Ovis aries: one gene and its partners. The protein of the gene in region 6 interacts with the protein of the main gene of each other region in a pairwise test. Links are inferred from orthologs where the notes say so. Each region holds a gene or a part of one and is shown on either strand. Other genes may lie near its edges.

Evidence for each region.
Region 1: the proteins of PPP1CC (region 6) and CNST interact in a two-hybrid assay, tested with the Homo sapiens proteins (2 studies listed by BioGRID and IntAct). The link is inferred for Ovis aries from reciprocal best matches to the Homo sapiens genes PPP1CC and CNST.
Region 2: the proteins of PPP1CC (region 6) and TOR1AIP1 interact in binary tests that used the Homo sapiens proteins (3 or more experiments, as listed by UniProt). The link is inferred for Ovis aries from reciprocal best matches to the Homo sapiens genes PPP1CC and TOR1AIP1.
Region 3: the proteins of PPP1CC (region 6) and TPRN interact in binary tests that used the Homo sapiens proteins (3 or more experiments, as listed by UniProt). The link is inferred for Ovis aries from reciprocal best matches to the Homo sapiens genes PPP1CC and TPRN.
Region 4: the proteins of PPP1CC (region 6) and PPP1R3C interact in binary tests that used the Homo sapiens proteins (3 or more experiments, as listed by UniProt). The link is inferred for Ovis aries from reciprocal best matches to the Homo sapiens genes PPP1CC and PPP1R3C.
Region 5: the proteins of PPP1CC (region 6) and ZFYVE9 interact in binary tests that used the Homo sapiens proteins (3 or more experiments, as listed by UniProt). The link is inferred for Ovis aries from reciprocal best matches to the Homo sapiens genes PPP1CC and ZFYVE9.
Region 7: the proteins of PPP1CC (region 6) and PPP1R15B interact in binary tests that used the Homo sapiens proteins (3 or more experiments, as listed by UniProt). The link is inferred for Ovis aries from reciprocal best matches to the Homo sapiens genes PPP1CC and PPP1R15B.

Annotation. Positions count from the first base shown.
Region 1 is NC_056065.1:30,032,825-30,036,324, reverse strand, and holds part of CNST (consortin), read left to right. Parts: intron 1-567; 5' UTR 568-617; coding exon 618-996; exon of another isoform or gene 997-3,500. UniProt on the Homo sapiens protein: Required for targeting of connexins to the plasma membrane.
Region 2 is NC_056065.1:60,482,826-60,486,985, reverse strand, and holds the start of TOR1AIP1 (torsin-1A-interacting protein 1), read right to left. Parts: upstream 2,801-4,160; 5' UTR 2,582-2,800; coding exon 2,101-2,581; exon of another isoform or gene 2,053-2,100; intron 1-2,052. UniProt on the Homo sapiens protein: Required for nuclear membrane integrity. Induces TOR1A and TOR1B ATPase activity and is required for their location on the nuclear membrane. Binds to A- and B-type lamins. Possible role in membrane attachment and assembly of the nuclear lamina.
Region 3 is NC_056056.1:737,608-741,623, reverse strand, and holds the start of TPRN (taperin), read right to left. Parts: upstream 2,801-4,016; 5' UTR 2,761-2,800; coding exon 934-2,760; intron 1-933. UniProt on the Homo sapiens protein: Essential for hearing. Required for maintenance of stereocilia on both inner and outer hair cells. Necessary for the integrity of the stereociliary rootlet.
Region 4 is NC_056075.1:13,013,262-13,017,544, forward strand, and holds the start of PPP1R3C (protein phosphatase 1 regulatory subunit 3C), read right to left. Parts: upstream 2,801-4,283; 5' UTR 2,713-2,800; coding exon 2,699-2,712; intron 431-2,698; coding exon 1-430.
Region 5 is NC_056054.1:26,595,239-26,599,364, reverse strand, and holds the start of ZFYVE9 (zinc finger FYVE domain-containing protein 9), read right to left. Parts: upstream 2,801-4,126; 5' UTR 2,690-2,800; intron 1-2,689. UniProt on the Homo sapiens protein: Early endosomal protein that functions to recruit SMAD2/SMAD3 to intracellular membranes and to the TGF-beta receptor.
Region 6 is NC_056070.1:54,611,194-54,615,481, forward strand, and holds the start of PPP1CC (serine/threonine-protein phosphatase PP1-gamma catalytic subunit), read right to left. Parts: upstream 2,801-4,288; 5' UTR 2,605-2,800; coding exon 2,550-2,604; intron 1-2,549. UniProt on the Homo sapiens protein: Protein phosphatase that associates with over 200 regulatory proteins to form highly specific holoenzymes which dephosphorylate hundreds of biological targets.
Region 7 is NC_056065.1:2,002,225-2,006,410, reverse strand, and holds the start of PPP1R15B (protein phosphatase 1 regulatory subunit 15B), read left to right. Parts: upstream 1-1,386; 5' UTR 1,387-1,841; coding exon 1,842-3,716; intron 3,717-4,186. UniProt on the Homo sapiens protein: Maintains low levels of EIF2S1 phosphorylation in unstressed cells by promoting its dephosphorylation by PP1.

The DNA of each region.
Region 1 (3,500 bases), on a different chromosome or scaffold from region 6:
GTAAACTATGTAATGAGAATATATGCTACCTGAATTTTCCCCCATATACTTTTTTAAAAATTTATTTTAAAACTATCCTTAAATGTTTTCATTTGTATATATTGCTGCTGCTTGGCCATATAAGGACTTACACTTACACTTGTCTATTAAGTGTCCAGGGATAAGATGAATGATTGGTTTTAGCAGACAACCTTATTTAAATAATAATGTCTTTCATCAAGGAGGTGGTTCCAGCATGTTGCACCATTAGAATATCTTGAGAACTTCAAAAAATACATCAGTATTTAGGCTTAGTCCTCAGAAATTTTGATTTCATAGGTCTACAGTAGAAATTTGACAAGCTCCACAGGTAATAAACATGCACCCAGGATTTAGAGCCATTGTGTTAAAGCAGGAACCGGGTAAGGTGAGGTAGGGTTGTGAGAAAGGTAGAAATAGGAGTGAGCCTTCGTCATTTCTGTCTCTTCTATGTTTACAGTAAAACAATCCAGGAGAAGAGGAAAATGAAAGGTCACTGAAAATCCAGAGTTCAAAAAATGAACTAGATTTTTCTTTTTGTCATTGTAGACATTCAAGGACTTTAATGAAACTTAAATGGTTCAACAAAAGATGCTCTAATGGATGACAGCGAAACTCCTGCATATAATCTGCAGATAGAACCGCAAGATGGATGTCATCCTGGTGACGGCGTGGAAAGTATAGTAACATGCTTGCCTTCTGCATCAGATGAAAATGAAAATCAACTTGATGGGGATGGGCTTGAGCTTCTGACCAGCAGTGACAGTGCAATGGGCAAACCTGAAGTGTGGGAGCAGGACAGTCTGAACAATAATGAAAGCTGCACACCAAGCTGTGAGGTGGCTGCAAGTGAGAGCTCAGAAAGCATTTCTTGTGAAAGCCCCAAAGACGGGCAGGCCCTCTTGAGAAAGGACCACAAGATACCTGGAAGCAGAAGTTCAAGAGGCAAAAGAGGCACTGTAAAGAAGATACCACAAGGTATTTTTTTTTAATTATTATTTTTAACTAAGAATAAACAGTGTTCCCATCCCATACTGTGTGTATTGTCCTGCTTCTTGCTTTTCTTCTCTTAATATGTTCCAGAGCTAGTTCTGTGATAGCACATACAAACCACAGCTGTGTGGTATGCCATGTATGTGACATGTGTCTATAGTGTTCATTGTATGGGTGTGCCATGAAGTATTTAACCACTTTATGGCTATTCCCAGTATTCTATAATAAATGTGTTGAAGGTGGCATTTTTTGTAGATGTCTTCTCCCTAGATGCTTTTAATGTATGTATATATGTATATATATATATATATATAGCCTTTTCCTATATCTGTTAGACCCTTTTCTACCAATTTCAGCATTAAAAATTTCCTTCCATTGTCACTTTGGCTTTGATTTCTAACCAGTGAGTTTATGGGCTAGTCCAGTCTTACACAGCTTTTTTGGATCTTTACATCTCACTTCATTAATGTATATTAATATACATCATATAACAATGTTGAGTAAGACATCTAGCTTTATGTTACTTTGGTTACAGAGTATTTTTCATCTGGCATATAATTTAGCAGTTAAAATTTGGAGCTATGGACTTTTTTTGCCTGAATCATAAGGCACCCTTGCGAAAAGGCAGCCTCTGGTCATTTTTTGATCAGAACCATGTGGGTCTAGAGAGTTCTGGACACCTTAGTCTGGGCCACCTTAGTGTAGCAGCACTTTACCTACACCTATGGCCTGTGTGAGGCTCTGGAGAACAAAATGGACTGTCTCATCTGCCCTCTTCTACTTCTTTGGCTGATTGAGAAATATGGTCAGTCTATCCATATCCTGTTTTTTTATTTGTATTTGTTTATTTGGAGTAAAATATGAAACTTTTCAGTTTCTACAAATCCTTGTTTATTCAGTAGGGCAATTTGACAACTTTTTACTGTAACTCATCATTTGGCTTTCCAATTAATGGATCCCTTTTTCTTTGCTTTTTCTTAGTAGACGTAAAGCAAAAAAAATTCTGATGAGAGATTTGAAAGCATTTTCTTAAAAGACCTAAGTGTAAACCGATGATATACACAGCGCTATTTGTATGTAAATTGATTCACTCTGTAAACATAAGTCAAAAGTTATTTGTTCCTTTCTGATGTGACCTTGCGATGCTTTTAAGAACTGAGACCTAGTTGCATATGTGTAACAATCAGTCATAGCTTCAAGACTGATGGCTCCTTTTATTTCTTCCATGATCTTATTCCAGTTACCCTAAGAGTGATTATATAATTTCAAGTTATTTAGTACTTATTATCCCGTGAGCAGATATGTGTAGAATTAGTATTCCTAATGCATTTGAAATATATGATTTACAAAACTTAGGGACACTTTTTATACAGATTATTTTTTAAATTATTTTATATACCTTCAATAAAATGAGTTTAAGAGTGTAAGAAAACTGAATTATGAATTGTAAAACCTAAGTTCAAATCTCATTACTTCTGGTTGTTGGTCACTTGGTGAATCTTAACCATTCTGTATTTTAGTTTCCACATCTGTGTAATGATGGTGTTCATCTCCATATATCTATAAAATTCCTTTTTGAGCTGTGAATTTCTCAGATTTCTGAATCGAGATGGTACAGTCTAAACTCAATTAAAATTTGGTAATTCCTCTCTAGTGTATCTGTTGAGTTTTTCATGTGTAAGCAATACATTGGTACATTTTTGTTTTTAAACATCATCTGTAACTGGAGTACTGCAAAAGCCCTCTGCAAACATTTCTTCCATCTTACGTTTTGCCAATCCATTCTGCATGTTAGAATTAAAAAGGCAGAGAGTTTATAGTTAGAGATCTAGACATGAGCATATTTACTCTTTTCACTATTTGATTCCTAGATCCTACGTAAATAAAGTCTCACAGTTTTGCAGATAAGTACTTTTCTAATAATAGAATAGCTTCTCAAATGTGATTTGAAAGACATATAGAACATGATGTTCAATCCCAAACCAGAAGTAAGTTTTTTATAGCTGGGTGCCCTCTCAACAGTTGTTTTTTGGAAACAAACATAAAGGTGAATTTATTTACTATTATGCTTACAGGTGGTGCTAGTGGTAAAGAACCCAGCTGCCAGGGCAGGAGGCCTAAGAGACGTAGGTTCAATGGCTGCGTTGGGAAGATCCCCTGGAGGAGGGCATAGCAGCCCACTTCAGTATTCTCGCCTTTAGAATCCCATGGACAGAGGAGCCAGCAGGCTACAGTCCACAGGGGCTCAACAGACACGACTGAAGTGACTTAGCACACATACACACATTATGCTTAATTTGTAGTAATTTTTCATGTATCCAGTAGCTAGTACTAAGGGAAAAAAAATTGGAGTAGTAGTATTAGGAGACATCTTTATTTACTGGTTATCTGGAGGCTACATTTCTGTAAACATGCTAAAACCTGGAACTTGTCCCCAGGAAAATCCAGTTGTCATTATATTACGAGAATTTTTTTTTCGTTAGGAGAAT
Region 2 (4,160 bases), on a different chromosome or scaffold from region 6:
GACAAGATAAGGGTGTGAGCAGGGTTTGCACTCCCTTACTCTCATCTCAGGTGGTCAGTCTCCTAATCCTGATGATTAATCTGGGCCTTTTAATCTTGCATCAGGTGAGTTCTTGGTTGTTCTTACTTTGATTAGCGACTGTTGGAACCTGCTCTTTGGAACTCAGAGAAGGTCATAATGGCTATCGTACTGCCTCCAAACAATGGCAAGACTCACAGGGGCCCACTCAGTTTCAATCTCTTCAGAAATGTGTAATTAAGGGGTTCCCTGGTGACTCAGTGGTAAAGAATTCGCCTGCCAATGCAGAACACTTGGGTTTGACCCCTGGGTAGGGAAGATTCCTCTAGAGAAGGAAATAGCAACCCATTCCAGTATTCTTGCCTGGGAAATCCCATGGACAGAAGAGCCTAGTGGGTTACAGTCCATAGGGTGGCAAAGAGAGTCAGACACGACTTAGGGGACGCTAAACAACAAAAAATTAGGTTTACCAAAACTTGGGAATTGAACTAGTAGTAGTTCTTACTACTCTTTAGGACAACATAAAAATAAACTACTCAGCAATGATGCTTTACAAAATAAATATAGAAATATTACTCTAGAAAATTTAAAAGACGGGCTAAAGAGGAAGAATGAAAAACGTGTAGATTCTCATAGATTTACTAAAAATAGAAGTAAATCCTTTGTGTGTTAAACAAAAAACAAACAAACTAGCTTTTACAATTGCATAGGCCTGCGTGGAAGTCATACAACTTAGCATATTTCCTTTGCCTTCCAAAGCATTCTTCTAGCTACTGGAGATACAGAAAGAACATAAACACTGAAGTATAACATGGTCCCTCAAATATATATGTAGGATCTGTGTATATATGTAGGATCTTTGTCTTCAGAAGTTTATAATCTTAAAAGAGATAAAACATGTATAGGGGTTACACGGTCTTGGTATTACTCCCAACAGTAACTCACATATCTTTAACATAATTTCCAAAATCATCAACACTTCTACTGTGTCAGCACTTCAGGCATCAGCAGGCAATGTGCAGTCTATTTCTCAGCTCTAAACTGAGAAAATCCACCTCCTCTTCATCATATCCACCAATGGTCTATTACCAACTATGTAATCCCATTATGATTCAAACCCCTTGGTTTTACCTCACAGGTGCGCTACCTGGAGCCAACATGAAACTCCATCTGTGACTCAGTGTTAGATGGGATAGGGGCAGCGTGGGACAGGATGCATTACCGGCGATGATTCATTCATCTGTGACTTTCCTAAAACTACACAATCACTTTGTCAGTAACCCTGTGGCCCATTTAGATGAAAACTAATGAAAGTCTTGCTTTGTCACGCTACTGCTTAACTACTGAGGTTACACTGACGGTCCCCAACATCCGAATTTCTGGCAGAGACCACCACACTAGAGAAAGAGTGATCAGTTCAAGTTTATCACACACTGGGAAGCTTCAGGTTCAGGATGACTGCCTTGACCCCGTTTCAGTGTAAACCATGTGGGTGGGATCTCAAATCAATTCATCAACTATGCTAGTCCTCAAACGGCCACTCACGAAATTCCCCTTCCTTTCTCCCCTCCTGGATAGTGACGGGGAAAGACTGGAAGGTTAGATGAGGACCAAATCTCACTGAAGGATTTCTGGCCTCGGAGTTAAAGGAGGAAATGGAAGTGGCTTTGGCAGAAACATCCCAGGGTAGAGAGAACCGATATGAAACCGATGTGAAACTGAACTCTGAGTGATTCAGTGTCCTGCCTTCTGCCTAACTCGCCGCCCCGAAGTGCAGGCCTGCAGAAAACGGGCAATCCTGACACCTCTAAATTGATGCCCAAGGAAGCACGCGGCTCCTCGACTGTGCTCAGGTCACTACGCACGACCGCCTTTCCTTCCGGCGCCCCCGCCCTGCCACTTTCCCGCCAGCCGACGGGGCGGCCCGGGGGTGGGGGCTCACGTCCAAACCGGAGAAGCTCAGAGGGGACGAGCTCAAGGCAGGCACACGCCCGCCCAGGACGCGCACACCCTTCGCGCGTACCCGCCCACGGCACTCCCTCCCTGACTCGCGGCTGACACTGTTACCTCCGACTGTCTCACCTTCGGATGAATGGGAGTCCCGTAATCCTCTTCTGGTCGTAACCGGAGAGGGTCGTATCGGAGGCGGCGGCGAGTGCAGCTGCTCCTGGAGGCGAGTAGCTCTCCGAGTCTGCATCTCCTCGGCTTCGTGGAGTCGGGGTTGCCTTCGCTGCCGAGACCGAAGGTAATAGGCGCTTTCTCTCACTTCCTCTTTCGCCGAATCGGGCCGGAACCCTTCTAGCGGAATCTGTCTTCCCACCCGGGCCTTTTCTTTGGCCGCCCGGGGCTCGAAGTCGCCGTACACTTCGGGCGGCTCTTCTGAGAACCTCACTTCCCGCCGGCCGTGGCGCGACGGCGTAGGAGTTCCGTACGCAGGCACGTCACTGCTGCCGCCATTTTGAGGGGCGAGCCGGGGCCTTCCCTCCCGTAGCGGAGCCCTGGGCGTGACGTACAGCGCCCATCCTTCCCTCTCCGGCTCCGCCCGCCGCCCCTCGCCTGCCATAGTTGTTGACGTAGCTTGAGTCGCTCGCGACGGTGTTTTGCGGTGCCCTTAAGAGTCTCCTGCCGTTGGTGGCGATCGTTTTTCGGGGTGTAGGGCGGTGGTGTCGGCGGTCAGGGAGGCAGTTGAGCGTCGCCGGGGCTGCCGCCTGCGTCGTCGCTGCTGTGCTGCAAACCGGCCCCTGGGCCCATGGTGTGCTCCGAGGGCTGTGGGAGAGGCAGTGCCTGTGCTGGGTCAGCTGCCGCGCGGGTCACTCCCGCCTCCTGGCTGAAGGCACCAAAGAGGAGGAGAAGAGCGAGGAGGCGTCGCTGTCCTCGGCCTTCGGGGAGGGAGGGAGGGAAGACGGAGAAGGGACAAGTGGCTGGGCAAATTGCCGGTCCTCAGTCCAGCTGCTCCTGGCAACTGTTGCCTGCTCGCAAGAGGCGCCCGGCCGGGCCCCCAGCACAGAGTCGCTGGGAAAGGCGGAGTGAAAGGCGGGTGGAGAAGTCTCGGTCCTCAGCCCCAGGCTGTTGCGCAGTTTTCCCGCAGCCTTTTTGATCGACTCTTGCCTTCGCCGTACCTTTCCAAGTGTCCCTTTGCAGGGCTGATAAGACATATTCGCAGGTGTCATCTTTCCCTGGAGAAAATTTTAGTTTGAAGTTCCTTGGGAAAGCAGTTTACCAGTTTTAGGTTTTAAAAGTCACTTGTTGAGTACAAAATCGGATCTACAGGCTTACTTGGGTGGATTTCCATTTACAAAATGTACGCAGCAAACAGTATTACTCCTGATTTCGTATAAAGGCTCTACTTCAGCAACACTGTTCAGAGACATTGTTAGTGCTGTGCTATGGGCAGTGAGAAGTGAACAAATACTTTGATTAAAGAGAGCACTGTAATTTTCAGTTGTGATCCATTATTTTCACTTTGCTTCTGAGCATGACTTGATATGCTGCGTGTGATACAGGATTTTTTTCTGCGTTTAGTTACTGAATAAGAAAACATGACAAAACCATTTGTTTCACTTCTGTGTACCGTATTTGCAGATGTGGAAAATCTGCAAATATCTAAACTTAGACACACTGAGGGAATGTTATTGAAAAATCGGATAATCTTGCCTTCACATACACACCCCCTTCTCGGACGATTTTCCATAATTGATTTTAGTGACTAGATTTTAAAATTTGCAATTTGGATAGCAGTTACAGTGAATGGGCCTGAAAATTTTGAAGTGAAGTGTAAGTCGCTCAGTCATGTCTGATTCTTTGGGACCCCATGGTGTACTGTCCCTGGAATTCTCCAGGCCAGAATACTAGAGTTAGTCTTTACCTTCTCCAGGGGATCTTCCCAATCCAGGGATCGAACCCAAGTCTCCCGCATTGCAGGCATATTCTTTACCAGCTGAGCCACAAAGGTGTGTACTCTTTCATGTATTTAAAATCACTTTAGAATGTTTTTGAGCAACTCATTGTCCAAACTGGGGGCACATATTTTATTTTAATGAAATTTAACGATGTCTTGTGTTTTCACTAATAGGCCATAAATTTGGCCACAGACACAAGTAATTACATGCTTTAGAATCACCTAGGTTTTTGCTTGATGGAAG
Region 3 (4,016 bases), on a different chromosome or scaffold from region 6:
GGGGAGAGGCGCGGCCTGACCGGGCAGATGGAGCGGCAGGAGACGGTGACGCAGGGAGTGAGGCAGTGCCAAGGCCGACCCCGAGGCAGGAAGGCCAAAGGAAGCAGACGGGCAAGGTGCCACGTCTAATCAGACAACGCCAGCAGCACAGCGGGCGAGGGGGCTCCATGACGCCAGCATGCCACCGCCCCCACGGCCCCAACCTCGGAGGCGAAGGGCAGAGGCAGCCTCAGGACGGGCAGAGGAGGAGAGTGCATCTCTCCACAGCACCTGCTGATCACAGCCCTGCGGGGCTGGCCTTGGAATCCGCCCCGGGGTAACACCCTGCTGCCGAGATGACCAGGAAGAATCTGAGGAACGCCTTCTTGTGCCCAGAGGGTGTCAGGCCTCCCCAGAGAGGGCAGCCTTTTCCTCACTCCCCAGCAGCTCAGCCCAGGCTCAGACCAGCCTGTCAACCCTCACTCAAAGCCAAGTCCTGCTAAGCGTGAAGCCGGTATGCTCTCTGGGGAGCTGAGCAGGACTCCCACCCCATCCAAATCAAAGGGCTTCCTGCCCCTTCCCACTTCCACCCTGGCCCCTGCTAGGCCACTCCTCAAACCTAGGGCCCACCTGGGACAGGACTGCCCAGCCAACTCCAGAGAGCGCCACGAGAGTCAACAAGAAGACACGGCCCTGGCTGGACCCACAGTCCCCACCAGCCTCTCAATGTACAGAGCCCCTGGGTCCCCAGCATCCCACTGGAACCCGTGCCAGGGACTCCCCCAGCCCAGACTCTCCTGGAGCGTGCACAGCCACCGGCCCCCTCTGGTCCACGTAGACGCCATCCCGCACCCAGCCCAGGTGTCCTAAGAACAGGCCACATGCTACACCCACAGATCTGTGACCTGCCACCTCTCCCCCTCCCTGCTGGGGACCCTGCTCCCCGCCACTCACCTTCTTTCTTGAGGAGCCAGCCTTGGTGAGACAGGACTTCTGCAGGGCCAGATAGCCACCGATCACCTCGATCTCGTGCACGGTGGGGTAGCGCTTCTTCGGCGAGGTCCCCACGGCAGCAGGGGGCTCTGAAACTCTGCCTGGCTCCTCTTCCTCGGCCTCCCTTGGCCTGGCCACGCCATTGGCCTGCACAGCCCCTGGCTTCCTCTTAGGCACCACTGTGAAGGTGTTGCCACCCCGACGCTGGAGCTCTGACAAGTGCCCAGGCCTGGTCGGATGTGGGTGGTACTGGGGAGGCGCGCCAGCCCCGGAGCAGGGCAGTTTGGCTTCTTGGGGAACCTCGTCCTCCGAGTCCACCTCATCAATGAAAGTGATGGGCAGCCCTGGCCGCCCAGGCTCCCTGCCACTGTTGGCCAAGCCAGGAGTCTGGAAGCCCTGGGCAGGCTCAGCTTCAGTGGCGGCCTGTGGAGACGGCGGTGGTGAGGGCGGCCTCTGCCACCTGATGGCAGGGTCCACAAGGGCAGTGGCGGGTGCGGGGCTGCCCCCCTCCTCGATCCTGGAGGGGCTCCTCCCCGCTGAAAACACATCATCCACTCCAGGCACCTGCTGGGCTTCAGGCTCTGGGTGCTGGGAGGCCCAGCCAACTTCTTCCTCTGGAGGCGCCATGGACCGCCTCCCTTCCCCAGGAGGAGCCCCAGAGGTCTTGCGCTTGGGGATGACTACGAAAGAGTTTCGAGAGTTCACTCGAAGGCTGGCCAGAGCCCGGGCCTGGAAATCCCCAGCAGGGATCCTGCCCATGTCTGGCTTGGGGGCTGGCCGGATCTCGAAGGAGTCATTGGCGCTGGCGGCCGCGGAGACCCGCTGGCGCTGGCTGGGAGTGGCACTGGAAGGGCTGAGCGTGGGCAGGGCCGGAGCCGCGGCTGGAGTGGCACTGGGGGTCCCCTGGCTGGGGGACTGGTGGGCGGGGGCCTCCCCCGACTCCACCTTTGGCTTCCACTCGCCTGGCCCAGGCGCGGAGCCCTCAAAGCCCTTGGCAGAGCCGGCCCGGGACTCCGGGGCCGCGGGCCCGTTGGGGAGTGGGCGAGCGCCCGCGCTATGGCGCAGGCCCCGCGGGTGGACAGTGAACGAGTTGCTGCTGGTCTTGTGCAGGAAGTCGCTGCGCCGGGGCCTGGGGCCAAGGCCTGAGCCGCAGCGCTCCGGGTCGGACTGGAAGCAGGCGGCGCGCTCGCCCACGCGCGGAACGGCCGGGCCCGGAGAGGGCGGTGGCGTGGGGCGGACGCGCTCCGGGCTCCCGCGGCGGCGCGGCGCGGCCGGCGGGTCGAACTTCTGGAGCAGGCGGCTGACGCGGCCGGGCGGCGGCGATGCCTCGTACACAAGCACCTCCGCGGCTCGGATGTGGGCGGTCCCGCCAGGACCGAGGCCCGGGCTGGGCGCGGGCGCGGACGGAAAGCCGGGCGCCGACTCGATGATGAGGATGTTGTCGGCTCGGATGGTGCGCACTCCGGGCACGCAGCAGTACAGCTCCAGCAGCTGCTCCGCGGGCCGCGCTCCGGGCCCCGCCACGCCCGCGCCCCCGCCGCGCCGCGCCCCGTGCCGCCGCTCCGACTCGAGCCGCATGAACGGGTTTTCGCGCAGCGGGCCCAGGCTCTCGGCCAGCACCAGCGGCTCGGTAGCCGGCCCCGCGGTCTCCGTCGCGCCCGCCCCAGCGACCAGCGCCGCGCCCCCGCCCAAAGCCGCCAGCTTAGCCCGCTTTCGCTCGAGGATCTCTCGCTTCCAGGCAGGCATCGCGGCGCGGGGCGCTGGGCCCGGCCGCCCCAAGCCGGCCATGCTGCAGAGTGGCCGCCGGAGCCAGCGCGCGCCGGGGACTGCGGCCGCCGCCCGCCGCCGGCCTTCGCGCAGCGGCCCCACCCCCGGGCCGCCGCCCATTGGGGGAGAGGCCCGTTCAGGCCCGCCCCAGCCCCGCGGCCCCACCTATGGCAGGGAGGGTGGCCGACCACGCTGATTGGAGCGCGTTCTCCCCGACCCCGCCCTCCCGCCGACCTCAGTGGACAGCGCCCAGCACCGGAGTGGGTCCCTATTGGGGAGGCCCCCTGGGACACGCCCACGACGCCTCACGCCCCTCAAGGGAGGCCCACACTTCCGCCTTTGCTCCCTAGGCCGGCCGCGCTCGGAAGGCGGAGCCAGGAGGGGGCGGGTTCTGCCCCTCAGGCAGGCCGGACCCCCGGACCCGCGTCGCGGGTGACCCTGGCTGCGCTTGGTCTGTCCGCCTGTTATCCCGCGGAAAGCGGGGTGGAAGAAGGGCCAACCCAGGACTGGAAGGCTGTCTCGCTCCCGTGAGCGGTGCGCCGGTTGTACGCCAGCCTCCTTCTTCCTGGCCCAGGTGCCTATGGGTCCAAGGACTGCCCACCTGCGGTCCTGGCCTCCTGCGGGACTTAGTGGAGACAGCAACGGCTGGAGCCCCACCCAGTGCTGAGTAACCGGTTTCTCAGGAATCTCTGATTTTTGCTGGCCCCTAGAATCCACTATTGTTGCCCAGACAAGTAGTGGAAACTATCCACCCTTGGTCGTCCACAGCCCACCAAACACGGATGGGAGTGTGGAAGCCCATAACGCACACAAGCAGGCCCACAGCAGTCCATAGCACACAGGGCAATAATAGCCGGGGCACATTCCATTCACCTGATAAACCGCCCAGTCCCAACACTGACTTTGAGGGCACACCTGCTCCGTGTACTTGCTATGAGGAAGTTCACTGCCCCGGGAGGGCTGCACAAAGTTCACTACATTCTTTCAGGCCTGCTGGAGCCAAGGAGAGAAGGACAAATTGGGGGCAAGGGCAAGGACAACTGTCACCTGCCTTTCCAGCACCTGCCTACAGTCAGCAGATGTTCACAAATGACACTCCTGCCTCCCACTACACTCACTTTTCAGAGACAAGGCTCCAAGAGCACCTGGGCCTCTGCAAAGACCGGCGCAGGTTTCAGCCCCAGGGCCTTTCTCCACTTCTGTGTCCCGTGGCAGTCTGCAGCCATCACTGCAATAACTGTACTTGTAACAGCCCAGTCTATCCAGCTGGAGAAAAG
Region 4 (4,283 bases), on a different chromosome or scaffold from region 6:
AAAACTTAAGTAGTCAGCTGAAGGCTGAGGGAAATCCAGAATCAGGTTCTTCTCCTCGTGGAGCTTTAAGCCTGAGGAGATATCATTCAGGTCCAAGAGGTCAAACTGGAGATCCCACATGGGCTCCTCGGGAAGGTCTGAGAAGACATGGATGGCGGTGAGGGAGAGGCCCTTAGAGTCCGCAAACACCACCCGCTTCTTGGCTTGGTTGTGTGAAGGCTTCCAGCCGTCCTGAGCTCTGGCTTCCTGTTTTATGTTGAGACACGGCTTTAGGGGCTTTAATTTGTTCACAAAATTTCTTCGTTGGAAGTCATCATAAGGGCTCAGGAAGCTCTTCAGAGGTGGGGAATGAGCCAAGCAGAGCCTCACAGCGACATCCACGGGCATGACTGAACTTGTCAGAGGCCGTGGATCTAAGACCTGGATCATTCTAGAATACAGAAAGAAGAGGGGTTATCATCTGCACCTAGAATGCACTTCCCCTGGTCCCAAGTAGGTCTGTACTATTTTTGTTGGCTATTACAGCCAGCACAGCGCTCTCACATGAAGTAAAGGAATGCAGGATTAGGTGATAAAAGCTGCATCTTACGTTTGGCTCTGCCCTTGACAGGCTATAGGCCACGGGTTAAAACACTTGGTGTCCCAGTTTCTCCATCTGAGAAATAAAAGATTTGGATGGGATCAACTCTAATACAGCTCTAAAACCATTTGCTCTGTTCTGGAGCACCAGTTCTCAAACCTGTCTGTTTTCAGGCAGGTTCCTTACTGTTTGAGCCACCACGGAAGCCCCCACCATGGCCTAGTGGGTTGGATTTCTTTTTTTTCAATGCAGAATCCTTGGACTTAGAGCCTCTAATGCAGAACCCCTGGGGATGGAGACAAGAATGTATATATGTTCTTAAAGCTTCCCAGGTAAGCCAATGACCAGACAGGTTCTAGAATCAAAGTTCCAAACTGCACTCCCTCAACTGCTTTGATGATTTTGCTATTGAATTAATTATACTTCTCTGGAACCATAATCCATTTAAAAAGAAAGAATAAAAACAGCAAAGGGTTTTGAGAGCCAAAGACTAGAAAGAGTAAATTAGAGGATTCTCTCTGCACTTTCATTACCATGCTCTTCCCCATTTTACACAAATAACCTACTGAAGTGCAAGGCAGCCATTTATGAATTTAAAAATCTTTACATAATCTGTATTTCACCCAAAAAGACATCCATGCCAACTCCACATTTAAGTGGGAAAATCTGATGATCTGAAAATTATTGTCATTATTTAGTCACTCAGTCATGTCAGACTCTTTTGTGACCCCATGGACTATAGCCCACCAGGCTCCTCTGTCCATGGGATTTTCCAGGCAAGAATACTGGAGTGGTTTGTCATTTCCTTCTCCAGGGAATCTTCACAACCCTGGGATTGAACCCGTGTCTCCTGCATTGCAGGCAGATTCTTTACCGCTGAGTCACTGGGAAAGCCAAACCTGAAAATAGGATAGTTTCAATAAATGTGTTTTATATATATATATATATACACACACACAACACATATATGAACTTATAAATGTTGAAAAGTCTAATAGGAAGCACAACAAAAAGTTAACAATTATCTCCGGGTGATAGGTGATCTATTTTTGCCTTTGTACTTTTTTGGTATTTTCAAATGTTCTGGCAATGGATATTTATAACTAGAAAGATAATAAAGCTATTTAAAATTTAGACATAACTATGCCCAGAAATATTAAACCATGAAGTGTCCATCAAGAAAGGTATTTTTTCTGGCCTTTAGCCCTGAGTATACATTGCCAAACTTATGGACATTTTTCCCCTACCCTAGCCTTCAGATAAGAAGTGTGTGTATACTGTATGTGACATTTCTCGTTCCGGCTTTAGTAACTGTCTTCCCAGCAGCTCTAAGCACATAGCCAAATGGTCATTATCATAAGATGGGTAATAAAAGAATATTCTGAGAATTCACTTTATTAGCCCTAGGATTTTTCTGGGAGACCTACAAACTTAGAACAAACAAATGAGAGAGAAAGCTATATTTATTGGTCTAATAATAGTTAACAGGCGGAAATTTTAGAGACGTCTTCTGCTAAGTTATGTCTAAAGAAGCTATTTAAGTAGTTTTGTGGGTGGTTTTTTTGTTTGGGGGTTTGCCCTGTATTTTCACATTTTGCACTTATCTAAAGACAGTTTCAGGATACGGCGATTTCCCTGGAATGTTAAGTCTGGCCGAAGAGTTTAAAAATAATCATTTGCTCAAACTCCCGAGACTGGCTTTGCTATGGCAAACCGTCAGAAGAAGGAAAGAGGACCAAGGAAAGTGAACATCGTCCATCGTTAAGTTTTTCCCAAAGCTAAACTACACAGCCAGCAATCTGAGTGCTCTTCCCACGAGTCCTTGAGACCTCTGTGCAGGACCAAGAGATACGGTTAGAATCCACGAGGGAATCAGAACTAAAGCTGACTCACGTTTCTGGTTTAAGATGCCGTTTACCGAAATCAGCTCTGCCTAAGATGCTCAGAGCAAATCTTCACACCTCCAAGGCCTCCCCAGCGCCAGATTCTTCAGCAGCCTGTCAACCCGCCCTCCCCTGGGGTCTCCGGGGCGGGGATGACAGCAGGAAAACGCATCCCAGCCTCCCGACAGCTGCGCGCTCCCTGAGCTCCGGGTCGGAGAATCTGCAGGGAACCTACCTGGTGCAGCTCATCAGGCAGAGGAGCGGCGGCACTCCGCGGTTTGCGAGAGTTCGCACGCGTCTCCCGGGAGTCCCCGAGTGGCCGCAGCTCCGGCAGATCGCGGGTGCGGCCCCCGGGAGGCCGCTTAACTGCGGGGGACCACGTGAGCCGACTGCCACGGCCAATCGCTGGGCCGCGGGCTCGACGGCGCGACCAACCAGCGCTCAGCTGGGGCGCGAGCCCTTGCCGGGACGTGACTGCCGTGGTGCAGGGCTCGCCGGGCGCTGGGGGCGCTCTGGGACCCCGGGCCAGCTGGCCGGGGTAGAGTAACGCGAACCCCGGGCGAGGAGGCGTGGAGGCAACCGCGTAGCACAAGTAGCCGGCGCAGGCCAGGAGGGAAAGCAGCAAACCTCCTCCCGCGCGGAGCGCCAACACAGCGGGGCTGCAGGGAGGGAGGTGTCTCACTCGCGAGGCTTCTGTATACAGTTATCTGAGGGCAGGACACTGTGGCTCGTTCCGGGGACGCGTGGAGGGGTGGCGGTGGGGGAAGGGGATGTGTGTGTGTGCTTATATTTATAGTTTTGAAATGTTTATCTTGTTCATTGCTTGGTGCATTGGCTTATCTTCTCCCTTTCCTTGCCCTGAGCAATCAGAAGTTGACTGCATATTTTGGGGTTAGGGTGAACCCGGAAATGCACCACACAGTACATTCTTCTCTAACCAATATTGTTAATAAACCGTGTTAGTCCGTATTAAATGCTTCAGCCCTGTCCGACTCTTTAAGATCCCATGGACTGTGGCCCGCCAGGTTCCTCTGTCCTTGGGATTTCCCAGGGAAGAATACTGGAGTGGGTTGCCATGCCCTTCTCCAGGGGATCTTCCTGATCCAGAGATTGATCCGGGTCTCCTGCTTTGCAGGCAGATTCTTTACCATCTGAGCCACCGGCAGTCTGTGTTAGCCCTATTATAAGACAATGAGGCAGCATTTCATTAAAAGGTACTTTGTATTTCAATCTAGTCTTCAGCTTTTCTCCCTGGAAGAGAAAACTAAAGCCAGAAATGAAAAGGCCTCTTTTGCTCATGTGGTGGGTCAGCCCGCAGAGCCAGTGGTCAACCCAAATCCCTCATCTGGGTTCTGACGTCCTCTGGCAGCGATGTGAAAACCAAAATGTTAAACTATCACACTGTAAGTTTCATGACTCTCCCAGGCCGGTTATTCTCATCGAGGTTTTGTAATTTTGTTTAGTTTGGGGAGTTTTTAGACCATCATCAGTTACAACCATAAAATTAAATTTCTAAGTCGAGTAGGAATTGTTTGTATAAAGTCCATGTCCTTGCTCTGCTCTCAATTTAGTTATCCAGCAGTCCATAAAAATGTACAGAATATACAATGTAAAATGTACAAAAATCCCTATGTCTTTAAAATCACCGTTCAGCAGCAGCAGAAGTGTTAAAATGGTGTGGTTAAAGAAAAAGTGAGTTATCACTGGGGCAGTTATTTATCACTTGGGCTTGATTTTTTAAAGAAAACATCCAACTAAAAGCAGATCTTCTAGTTTCTCAGAACAACCAAAACTAGCTGAAGGGGCACTGTTTGGGTTTG
Region 5 (4,126 bases), on a different chromosome or scaffold from region 6:
TTCCACATCATACTTCATTTATTTATCTATGCATATAGAATTTTTAAATATTCCTATATCATAGCTTATTTAAATGTTTAATAATTATATAGAGCTATACATTAGTGAACAAGGCTGAGTGCCGAAGAATTGATGCTTTTGAACTGTGGTGTTGGAGAAGACTCTTGAGAGCCCCATGGACTGCAAGGAGATCCAACCAGTCCATTCTGAAGGAGATCAGCCCTGGGATTTCTTTGCAAGGAATGATGCTAAAGCTGAGGCTCCAGTACTTTGGCCACCTCATGCGAAGAGTTGACTCATTGGAAAAGACTCTGATGCTGGGAGGGATTTGGGGCAGGAGGAGAAGGGGACGACAGAGGATGAGATGGCTGGATGGCATCACCGACTCGATGGACGTGAGTCTTAGTGAACTCCGGGAGTTGGTGATGGACAGGGAGGCCTGGCGTGCTGCGATTCACGGGGTCGCAAGGAGTCGGACACGACTGAGCGACTGAACTGAACTGATACATTAGTTATGTTAGTAGTTATTTACAGTACTGATGAGCATTTACATTTTCTATTTTTCAACAAGTACCAAGAATGCTGCCATGTAAGTGCCTCCTTACACACATGTTTTTTTTAAGATACATATTAAGAAATAGGATTATTGAGTTATTAGTATGTGTCTTCTTCGCTATTCATAAACTACCCTAAAAATGATATGCCTAATACATTTTCATTTTAAGAATTCATTCAACAAATAGTTAAGACCTTTTTTAGGCTGAGCATACAGCATAATGGTAACCAATTCAGACAAAGGCACCACTTTGGTGATTAAGAATTCAGGCTCTAGAAAGAGGGAGGGCTCAAATGTATATTTATGGCTGATTCACACTGTTGTACAGCAGAAGCCAATACAACATTGTAAAACAATTATCCTCCAATTAAAATAAATTTTAAAAAAAAAAGAGTACAGGCTCTAGATATAGGTTGCCTGAATTCAAATTTGGGCTTAGTAAGTACTGAATGTCTGACCTTGGACAAGTTTCTCTATCCTTGTGCCTCAAGTACCTTAACAATAAAACAATAATAATAATAGTACCCACCTCACTAGGATTATTGTAAAGACTGTTGTGCCTGCCACAGAGAAAGTATTCAATAAAGTTGTCTTGTAATTATTACTTAAATTTGCTCTAACCAACTTTCTTGCCAATGAGAGAGGTGAAAATATCATTTTACTATTTAATCACCATTTCTCTGATTATCGATAAGACTGACATACATTTTATCTTTTTTACTTTCTATTCTGTGATCTGTTCAGATCTCTTATCCGTTTCTTCTATCAGGATGTTTTGCACTCTTCTTAATGTGACACTAGATGAGATGCAAATATTTCATAGCATGATGCCTAAGCTCTGACCCACAACTGTGGGGTTCTATTTGTGGCCAAGTTACAAGAATAGCAGTGCTGACTACTGTCCTGCTAAGAGAATTTCATGTTCTGCTCTCTAAAAAGATTTCTGAGTGCTTAGATTCAGGGGAAGAAGGTAAGGAATACTCTTCAGGCAATGGAAAGTAAAAGCTAAAGGCAAAGGGATGGTTTCTATCTTATCTACTCTTGTTTCCTTAACATGTGGTACAGGGCCTGACACATAATGGACTCTGGATAAACACATATTGTTTGAATGAATGCAAAATCTCCTTACTAGGTTACAAGCTCCTTGTGGGCAAGGATGGCATCATACCTATGTTGGTATCACTCCCACAATACCTAACAGTGTTTTTACACAGAGGAAGTACTCAATTGTTTTTACTGAAGAGACTGCTATCTCTGAACCTGTGTGATAGCAGCTGAGGTAATCAATGAAAAACAAACAATCCCTTCCTCATATAAAGATTAGACTCTGATTTGCAGCTGTAGAAGCTCTGTATGGAGCTGTTGTTTAGGACTCTGGTGTTGTTTAGGTCACTTCTTGAATTCACCATCTGTTTCAAGTCTTTGTTCTAGGAAAAAAAAAATGTCCCTGGCAGTTACTATGCTGTGAGCCCACGTAGGTGCTGCTGAGACCACGTCCGTGCAATGTGTCTCAAGCTTTAGTTTCCCTCCAAATTATTCCTTCTCAATGCGTTATTTAGAAATAAGTCCAGACCAGCGCACTAGACACAGTCGTTTGGGTCTCCTGATTCCTCGTCCCACATGCCCTGCCTGACAGAGCTCTCTGCTTTGCTAAATGCTGTGAGGCTGATTATTTTCCGGAATATCACTCTTGGTGATCTAGGCTTGTAGTCTCATGTGAAACAGTGAGACAATGGCATAATGGAAGAAGTGCAGGATCCCTGGAGCCAGACGATCTGGGTCTGCATATTAACTCAGCCATTTACTACATCACCTAAATATCCCTAAGTCTCAGTTTCCTTAAGTTTTCAAATGGGAATAACAGCAATACTATATCTAACCCACCTGGGTCACAAGACTGCAATAAGAGTTATAAAATTAGATTAAAATGCAGAAATATTTTATAAAGTATTCTACAATTCTATGTCACTACTATATGAAATAGGACTCAAAGACTACACTAAAAGAATCCCACCAGACAATTCATAAGAGCAAGGATCATTCATGTCTGACTGGGTCATAGCTGCATCTCCACAGCCTGGCATATTTGTTGAAGGAAAGACTAAGAGAATAGAAAATGAAAAGAGCACCTACCAGTGACCTTCATCAAGTTAATAAAGCTCTGGGTTTCAATTTGCTCATTTGATACCACTTATGTCAAAAGATGTAACATCAAGGATACTTTTCTATTTCCTTCTTCCTCCAAAGCCAGATATACTTTAGGACCTGGTTGTATAAAAAGTAGATACTCTTAGTAGTTTAATAATAATGGGTACTGACTCAAATTATTCTAGAGATAGTCAGGAACATTACACTATCATCTGCCCTCTATTCTCACTAAAAATTAATACTGGCTAATCAGACAGAGAAAGATAAATATCACATGAAATCACATATATGGAATCAAAAAATGATACAAGTTAATTTATTTATAAAACAGAAATAGACTCACAGACATAGAAAACAAACTTATGGTTACCAAAAGGGTAAGGAGCAGGAAGGATAAATTAGAAGCTTGAGATTAACAGATATACACTGCAATATATAAAACAGATAAAAAGAACCTACTATATACAACAGAGAAATAAATTTACTATCTTATAATAACCCATAATGGAGAGAATCTGAAAAACAAATATATATATATATACACATACACACACATTTTGAAACTGCATCACTATGCCGTATACCTAGAACTAACCTTAACACTATAAATCAGCTATACTTAAATAAAAAGTTTAGGAAAAAAAAATCAGTACTGGCAAAGTCATTATTAAATACTTTATCTCTGCCATGTTTAAACTGCTTCAGTTCACTCAGACTCACATATACATAAACCCTTAAAATGAACCACTGCCGTAGTAAAGTTAAGTCTTCTCAGACACAAGTGCATCTTTATGTAACCTAGACAAAATAACCTCTGGTGCTCAGCCATGTCCGATTCTGTGACCCTATGGACTGTAGTCCACCAGGCTCCTCCGCCCATGGAATCTTCCAGGCAAGAATACTGGAGTGGGTTGCCATTTCCTTCTCCAAGGGATCTTCCCAACCCAGGGATCAAACCCGTCTCTTGTGTCCCCTACACTGGCAGGCGTAATTTTTACCACTGCACCACCTGGGAAACCAAGACAAAATAACTTACTACTAGTCAAAACCATTTAAGCATCAAAGCCACATCAAAACAAATTCCATTTATTGGTCACAGTACATAAAATGGGAATAATGTTTACTGAGTTACCAAAAGTGTCCACATACATAGCATCCAATTCACATTATGCAGCAGAATTAAAGCTAGGGCACCTCACAACAGAGCGCCAAAATACATGAAGCATAAACTGACAGAACTGAAGTAAGAAACAGACAATTCAATAATAAGAGTTGTATGTTTCACTACCCCACTTTCAATTGTGGAGTAGGGAGAAGATTAGTAAAGAAAAAGAAAACATGAACGCTGTATGCCAATTAGACCTAAAGACCTCTACAAACACTCCATCCAACAACAGCAGGATATACATTCTTCCCAAGTGC
Region 6 (4,288 bases):
TTTAGAGTAGCAAATAACTGCAAAGCTGTAGTGACTAAAACCTAAAGCAAGACGTTTCATTAGATAAGACTTCACTTTTGAATGGTCTTTTTAGTACTATCACTGAGCTACTTCTCAACTAGCTTGTATAGTCCTCCACCTTAGACAATTCTGAAAATGTAAAAAATTCTAAAAAGGTCATAAAACTCACATTCCCTCCATCTTCAGATATACTTAAATCTTAATGAAAATTTTTAGAGGAAAAACTTTGTGAGGCATTAAAAAAAAAAAAATCACAAAACTTATCAACATCTTCTACCCTGGAAAGATATACATATATATCTTCAATAGATCATTTTCAATAGTTTCTCTGCCAATCTAACATTGACGAGAAAAAAAAAAAAAAAACAAACGTTAAGAATGTTGAGCAGCTAGTTTATTCCCGAGGACTGAAAATGCACTGCTGTACTAATTTCAATGAAAAAAAATGAAATGTTAAAAAAACCTGGTTTTCCAGCACAACATAACATGTATAGAAACTATTAAGAAATAATGACTGATCTCACTGTAAATGATCCAGGTTAATCAACGCAAATTCCTTAGCACAATTTAAAAAATAAGATTAAAATTAACAAGATGTTATATGAATATAAAAGTTATGGGCAACCCCACAATTAAGACCTAACTAATCTTAAAATTCTGTTTCTAATCCACAGCTTCCATTTTTTCCAGCTTTCTCAAAGAAATAAAGCCACACATGTCCCTGCATAGACATGCAGAATTTACAATTTTTGAATGAAAAAAATTTAAGTTCTTTTCCTACAGCAAATTGTTTTAATCCGTTTCTGACCCACTGCTGTCTCACATAAACCAAAGAACTATATCAACTAATATTAAAAGTGTGATTCCTCTAATAAACGGCAGATACTGAATGAACAAGGTTTTCACCCACAAATGGCAGTGACATTTCAGGGGCTCATTTAACGAGTTTTTGTTTTGAGACACTATAAAAGGAAAAAAACCTTAACAGAGATTAAGAAAAGATGAAGTTTCATTCTCATGACTTAAAAGATCTGTAAATTCTAACATCAGAGCTGTCCAACTGTTTAGGCTCGACTCCATCTCTGAGCATTTACAGTCCAACAATATTTTAGAATATAAAGGCAAAAATGCAGTTAAAACTCAGCCAAATCTACATTATCCAACACTCAAGAAAAGGATCTGAATTCTTTCAAAGTTAGGAATTAGACGTTATTATTAATAGATGTGCTCTAGAATTCAGGGGTGGTGGGTGATTTTATTTCAGTGTCTCTCCTTAAAATCCGAACTTCATCCCTCTCCCATCCCACATCAATAGAAATCAATCGCAAGACACCTCAGGAGTTTTAGGTCAGTCAAAACTGAAGATTTATTTTAACCTTTGCTCAACCACTGGACACCTTCCTTCACACATAGGGTGACTTGAATGACGTTGAATTCCTGGCTGCCTGGGTTTGAAACTTGACTGTCACTAACTGGTTAAGTGACTACACTTCTCTGGGTCTTAGTCAGGAAAAAAAGGCATCTACCTGGTGTATTACATGAAATCTGTGTAAGGAGCTCCAAAAAATGCCTTACACACAGTAAGCGCTTTAGAAGCATGGCTAATATGATTTTTGCGACACACGCAAAGTACTGGAGACAACTCATTAGAAAAGACCCTGATGCTGGGAAAGACTGAAAGCAGGAGAAGCGGACGAGATGGTTGGGTTGGATGGTATCACCGACTCAACGGACATGAGTTTAAGCAAGCTCCGGGAGATGGTGAAGGACAGGGAAACCTGGCACGCTGAAGTCCATAGGATCGAAAAGTCGGATGCGACTAAAAGACAGCAAAATGCAGTCAGTGAACGCAAAGCGCTTAACAGAGCTTGGCACATTGGAAAGATCCTAACGAAACTGTCATCACTGCCGGTTTCACGATTCAGAGGCAGGTTCAGAAAAGAGCGCGGAGACTTCCCCGGGATAAAGACAACTTAAAAAGAATATCTGGGAGGGTAGAAGAAGACAGGTTCCAACATCTCTCTGAGAATGAACGTTCGTTACCGAGTAACAAGTAACTGGGCCCCCGACCCCAAGCCTCACAAAAAAATAAAAATAAGCAGGCTAGGAAAGAAGCCCTCAAGCTTGGTGAAATCCATATCCGCATCTTATTGCTTTCCAAAAGATTGAGAACCACGAAGTTCGGAAAGAGCAGTCCAGTAGGTTGGACTGGGGCCCCCAATATTCTCCAAAGATTGGTCCGGAGTGCCGGGCGCACGGGGGTACGTACCGGAAACGTGGGGGTGGGGAGCGGAGTTTTCAAATTTCACGGCCAGGAGAAAGGCTGCACCCTCAAGCAATGAATGAGCGGAGCCAGGAGGGTCCGCAGGTTGGGCCAAGCGCGGAACGCCGGGCAACCTCCCTCCCGCGGCAGTCCCCGGCCCGCGGGCGAACTCGCGGGGCTCACTCGTCTCGGCGCAGCAAGCCCAACAGGCCTCCCAAATCCCCCTCCCCCGCGAGTCTCCGGAGCCGCCCGCCGCCCCCTTCACCTTCCAGCAGCCGTTGGATGATGCTGTCGATGTTGAGTTTATCTATATCCGCCATCGCCTTCCCACCGCCGACCTTCCCGCAGCGGCGCCGCCGCCGGCTCGCGCCCGGGATTCACACCTCCTTTCCCACGCCACGGGCACAGAGATGGTGGTGGTGGCGGCGGTGGCAGAAGCCGCGGTGGGTTCCCCCCAACCGCCCCGCTCCCTGCTTCCTCCTTCTCTCCCCACTGGAACCACGAGAAGAACAAAATGGCCGCCGACTCCTTAGCCAGCCTCGGGCGGCGCACGAATGCGCGCGGGGGAGTGCAGCGGTCCGGCCGGGACTTCTTTGTGGGCCATAGGGCACCCGGGAGGGGGCGGGGCCAGGGAGATTGAAGGAGGCGGGGCCAGAACGCGGGAATGGGAAGGAGACGGTTGAGCGTAAATGCGCTCGCGCGCGGAATCCTTCCGCCAAACGGGCCGAGCAAATAGGCCCCCTGGCGGGAGCGTGAGTTGCAAAGTTGAACGCGGGAGTTGGGGATGGGGGAGAAGATGCATCTGTGCACTCGAGGGTTGCGGGCTCCGCAGGACACTGTTCACTGCGGCCAAGTGTTTGCAGACCTGGCCATGTGAAAAGCCCACGGAGGGAATTTGGGTGTCCTGGAATTTCCCCTTAAGATAAATCTGTGGTAGAGGTGAACAGTGAAATAGGTTGACTCTTTTTGGCTTCAAATTTGCTAGAATTTAGGGGGGAGGGAAAGATACATTTGATGGTTAATTTAAAAAGTCCTCTCCCAGATAAATAAAAATGTTAGGTTATTCTTTCTGAGTGGTGGAAATATGGGTATTTGTATGCACATTTTTGTGCACTCTGTAACTTACATTTGGGGAAAAAAATTCTTTTTAATCTACCCTCAAAAAAATTTCATCATCTCTCTCTGGATTATCTTTCTTGAACTCGCGAAGTTATATAATCATCGGAACGGTTTACCCTGATTCCGGCCAGAGCGAAGATGAGCGAGCGTGTGCAGCAGATAAAGGAGAATTTGCAGGTTTGCGGTCGGGTCCCCACTTCTGCAGATACCCCTGAAAACTTTGGTCAATTTCCATCGGCTTCTCAGTCTCCACATATAATCTCTCTCCAGGAGATCCCTCCAAAATGTGCCACCTCCGGGGGCTGCGTGTCGTCTTAGCTGGGTTTGAAAGTGCAGTTACACTCAGCAAACGCATCTGCTCTTTTGGATCCTGACCTTTTCATTTAACTGCTTTTTTCCTGCAGCGCTTTACAGTTTGCAAAGCCGTTTCCCTCCCGCCAGAGAAATTAATTTTGTCTCTCAAGGCACACAAAATGCACGAATTCCCAGCCCGAAATATCGAGATCATTGTGCCACCCGGGCATCCAGTCTCAAAACCGGTGTTCCCCCCGGGGCCCAAAAGTGGTGGGGCCCAGGCTCCTTCCACATGGACCCGAGGCCTCCCTGCGGCTGGCTTGGAGGCGTTAAGGTTCAGAGATCCCACCTGCTTGGCGCAGTTGCTCACTCAGCTTTCCCCAGTCACCAACTTACCCTCCCGTGCTGTAACTCTGTTCGCAAGAAGACAAACAAGTGTCATTTGTCAGCCCAGGGCACAGAGCCCAGTTGGCGACGTTCGAAGTTGATGCACAGCACCGTTGTGAACAGCTGGCTGTCAAAGTCATGGTAGCTCTCCCCAGAGTCCATGAGACTCTGGGCTCCTCCAAGGCACATCATCGGAATGGCAAT
Region 7 (4,186 bases), on a different chromosome or scaffold from region 6:
TCCCCTCCTGTGGCCAACCAACATTAAAAGCAGGCCACTCGGAGGAACAAAAAGTTACTAATTTGTTCTTCACCAGCACTGATAGATTCCGTGCTCTAAACTTAAAATCAGAAAAATGGTCAGTCATAAGGGACAACGGAGTGGAAGTCTCTTGCCCCATGATTACAGAATAGAACACAGGAGACAAGACGAACACACAGAGAACAGTGACAATGCCGGCACACACAAAGATGCGACGAACCGAGGAGAGAAAAACTTCGGCCGAGAACACAGTACTAGGTCTTCCTGCCCACCCCCCCCAAACCTTCCTATCCCTCGAGGTTACCTTACCGAAGGGCGTCCGCTGCCCACCAGATTCGGGATCAAGAGAGAAGCTCTCTTCCCTGCAGAGCCAGCTGCCTTCCAGCGTGTCTGCTGGGCCTTGGCCTTATGCTGGCTAGAGCAACTAGGTCGCCCCGGACCAGACCTGACACCGGTGTCCAGATACCTTTCTTCTAAATGAGGAAACCCCTTCTACTGGGAGGGTGTTATTCTTCTCAGTTAAAAGGGATCCCGGATGAGCCCCCAAATGTTATGCCCGGAGCCCGAGTCCCCAAAATTGAGAGAATAAGACGTCCACAGCAATGCAAAAACATAAAGGGATTTTATTGCTAGCTCGAGCTAGGGCTAAGGTCTCATCCAGCACAGTGGAATCCAACAAGAGCCCCCAGTTCTGAGTAACAACTGCTTTTATAAAGGCAGTTCTTTGTCTCAGCAAGCGTAGCCAGCGTGTGATGATTGGCTAACGCGTGTGAATTTTGAATCCTGCATCCCTATCCGGATTGGCTCAAGCCTGGCATGCATGGGGACTCTCCCGATTGGCTCAGAGGTATAGTTCCCGGAATCATGACTCAGGTCTATAAGAATCCGAAACTTTTAGGCCTCGTGTAGCTTGCTGAGCCTGTCATGGCTCAGGTTAGGTCCTAACACTACTTAGCAGTGAATAACACTGGAACCACGGTGTTGCATAAATACATGCAAGTCTAAGACATACCTGTACACCTGGGTACGTACCACGCCTTTAACAGTTCCAGAGCCCCCTCGGCCCGTCTACGCAGCTCCCTTGGACCTAGAGGGCCGAGGTGGGGCGCGGGGGAGCGCGGGCCGCCGCGGAGGGGCGAAGAGGGCCGGCCGCGGCAGAGGGGCGGTTTCCTAGGCGACCGCTGAGCTGCAAGTGCGCACGCGCGAAGCCTGGCTGATGCAACCTCCCGCGCGCAACCGGGTCTACCGAGAGTAAGGAAGCCGACAGGGACCTGGGCGCGGCCAATCGGCGGCCGCAGGAAAGAGCGCGGAAGGGCCCGCCCCCGGCCCGGCGAGTGACGTCAGGCGGCGCGGGGCTGGTGGCGTAGCCGGCCGCCATCCTGCGTCTAGTCAGCCTGCCTGGAGCGGTGTTGCCGCGGCGCTGGCCCTGCGGCCATTTTGAGCTTCGCTTGCACCCGCTTGCCCTCCCAGACCAGCCCTTCCGGGGTCGCGCTGCTGAGGGGCATCTCCACGGTCCGTGCCTTCGAGGAAGCCGCCGCCGCCGCCGCCGCGGAAGGGCTCCTATCTATGGTGGAGCGGCGCGGGCCGGAGTAGGGCCCCTTCTCGCTGTCAGGATGGATGTCGCCTTGGCCGCCGCGTCTTGTGCCCGCCGTTCCGGACTGTGGCCCGCTGCCCGCGGCCGGAGCCGCTCTCCTTGTTGGCTCTTCTGCTGGCCCGGGGGTCGGCCTGGGGCACCCACTCCGCCGCTGGGGAAGGCCGAGACTGTGTAGGGCCTCGAGCTCCGCGTCCCTCCCTCCCTGAGAGACTGCCGACACCGGGAGATGGAGCCGGCGGCGGACGGCTCGCGGAAGCCGGACCCCCGCTTCCGGCTGCCCTCCTTCTTCCCTCGGCCCTCGCGATCAGGCACGTCCAGGATCCGCGCACCGCTCGCCCCGGAACCCGACCCCAGGCTGGCTCCCAGCCCCCCGCCCGAGGCCCGAAGCAGCTCCTGGATGCAGCTGCTTTCCCAGCTCCTCGCGCCGCTCCCGGGCTTGCTTCAGAAGCTGCTGGTCTGGAGCCAGCTTTTCAGTGGGATGATCCCTACCAGATGGCTAGACTTTGCTGGAGGCTACAGCCTCCTGAGGGCCCGGGAGGAGCCTGCCGCCCCCTCGGCGCCCAAAGCTCTGAGTTCGCTGCGGCTCGACCCCTCGGCCGACGCGGCCGCCGGTCCCCTTGACTGGCTAGAGGGGGGCCTCCACTGGCAGTGCTCGCCCCCAGATCTGGAATTAGAACTTAAAACCAAGGGAAGAGCTTTGGACTCCGCAGCCCATGCTTTTCTTCTGGAGCAGCCGCTGTGGGGAGTGGAGCTGGTGCCCCGGAGCGTCCAAGCGCGTCTCTTTTCTGACCCGGAGCTTGGCCCTTCGCCCTCTGGACCGCTCAACGTTCAGCGCTTAAGCAATGTCAGTGTCGTCTCCTATTTGCTGAACCCCTCCTATCTGGACTGCCTGCCCCGGGTTGAGCTGAGCTATCAGAGCAGTGTTGGAAGCTGCGAACTGGTCGATTTCCAGGCGCTGAGTCCAGAGAGCGGCTGCCTGGATGAGGCCTCGTCTTATCCCCAGCCGCTCAACGCAGAGATGGCTCCCGCCTCGTGGCAGGGATGTCCGCCTCTTTCTAGAGAAGGCCTGCCCGAAATCCACCATCTCCGCATGAAGCGGCTGGAATTCCTTCAGCAGGCCAGCAAGGGTCAGGCTTTACCCACCCCTGACCAAGATCATGGCTACCACAGCCTAGAGGAGGAGCACAGCCTGCTCCGGATGGAGCCGAAGCACTTCGGAGATAGTCCGACTCAGTGTGTTCCTGCTGCTGGAGCCGTTCCCGGAACCGCCCAGGAACCCACTGAGGAGAAAACAGAATTGTTGATTAGAGAAGTTCCTTTTGGATTGGAAAGACAGAGCCCCTCGGGAGGCATTCCGTCTTGTGAGACTGGACAGGAGCTTGGAGAGGACCAAATAAGTGTAGTTGACCCTCCAGACATAGACGATGACCTTCCCATTTCTGCCAGACCAGCCTGTAGTAACAAGTTGATAGATTACATTTTGGGAGGTGCAGCCAGTGACCTGGAAACAAGTTCTGATTCGGAAGATGAGGATTGGGACGAAGACGTTGAGGATGACGGTTTTGATAGTGATAGCTCATTCTCAGAATCAGACCTTGAGCAAGACTCAGAAGGGCTCCACCTTTGGAACTCTTTCTATAGTGTGGATCCTTATAATCCCCAAAACTTTACAGCAACAATTCAGACTGCTGCCAGAATTCTTCCGGGAAACCCTTCTGATTCAGAAAAGGATTTGTCTGACAAGTCTGACCTAGGGAATTCTCCCCACACTGGAAGTCTTCCCGAGTCTCCTGATCATAATTCTGGAGATGATGATGACTGGGAATCTAGTGCAGATGAAGCAGAGAGTCTCAAACTGTGGAATTCTTTTTGTAATTCTGACGACCCCTACAACCTTCTAAATTTTAAGGCTCCTTTTCAAACAGGGAAAAATTGGAAAAGCTGTCTTGACTCAGAGAGGCCATCTGAGCCCATTTCTGAGTGTCACACCTTACTTTCCTGTAAGGGGCAGCTGTTAGGGAGCCGGGAAAGTAAATGTCCAGACTTGGTACAGGGTGTGTTTCTTTCTCGAGAAAGACACACACATATCCGGAGAAAAAAGGTTTGTTTCTTTTATCATTCCTGATAATTTGTGCTTTCTGTTTTGATGTGGGAAAGCATGAGTTTCCTGGAGCCATAATAGGGCTTATTTTTTTAGGAAAGACTCCAAGCTCTTACACTTCGGTTGAGAAATGATCATCTCCTTTTCCCTCATGTAGAGTGTTGTTCCTGTCTGAATTGAAGGTGCCAGTGTATAGATGTTAGCTTGAGAGTGCTGTTTTCTTTTGGGTTGGCAGCTCTGGGCTGTTTCCCTTCAAGTTTCAACTTTTCACTTTTTTTAAGGAACAGAAAAATTAAACTTTGTGTGTACATGATTCAATTCTAGAGATTGAGAAGGTCCTATTGTAGCAGTAGAGTTTTGTGGTATTAAGTGATGTCATTTACAGACAGTTACTCCTCCAGTCTCAGGATAACTGTTTTCCTGCCTCTCCGTTAGAACCCAAAGGGATGATGGTACCAAGTAGCGAATCA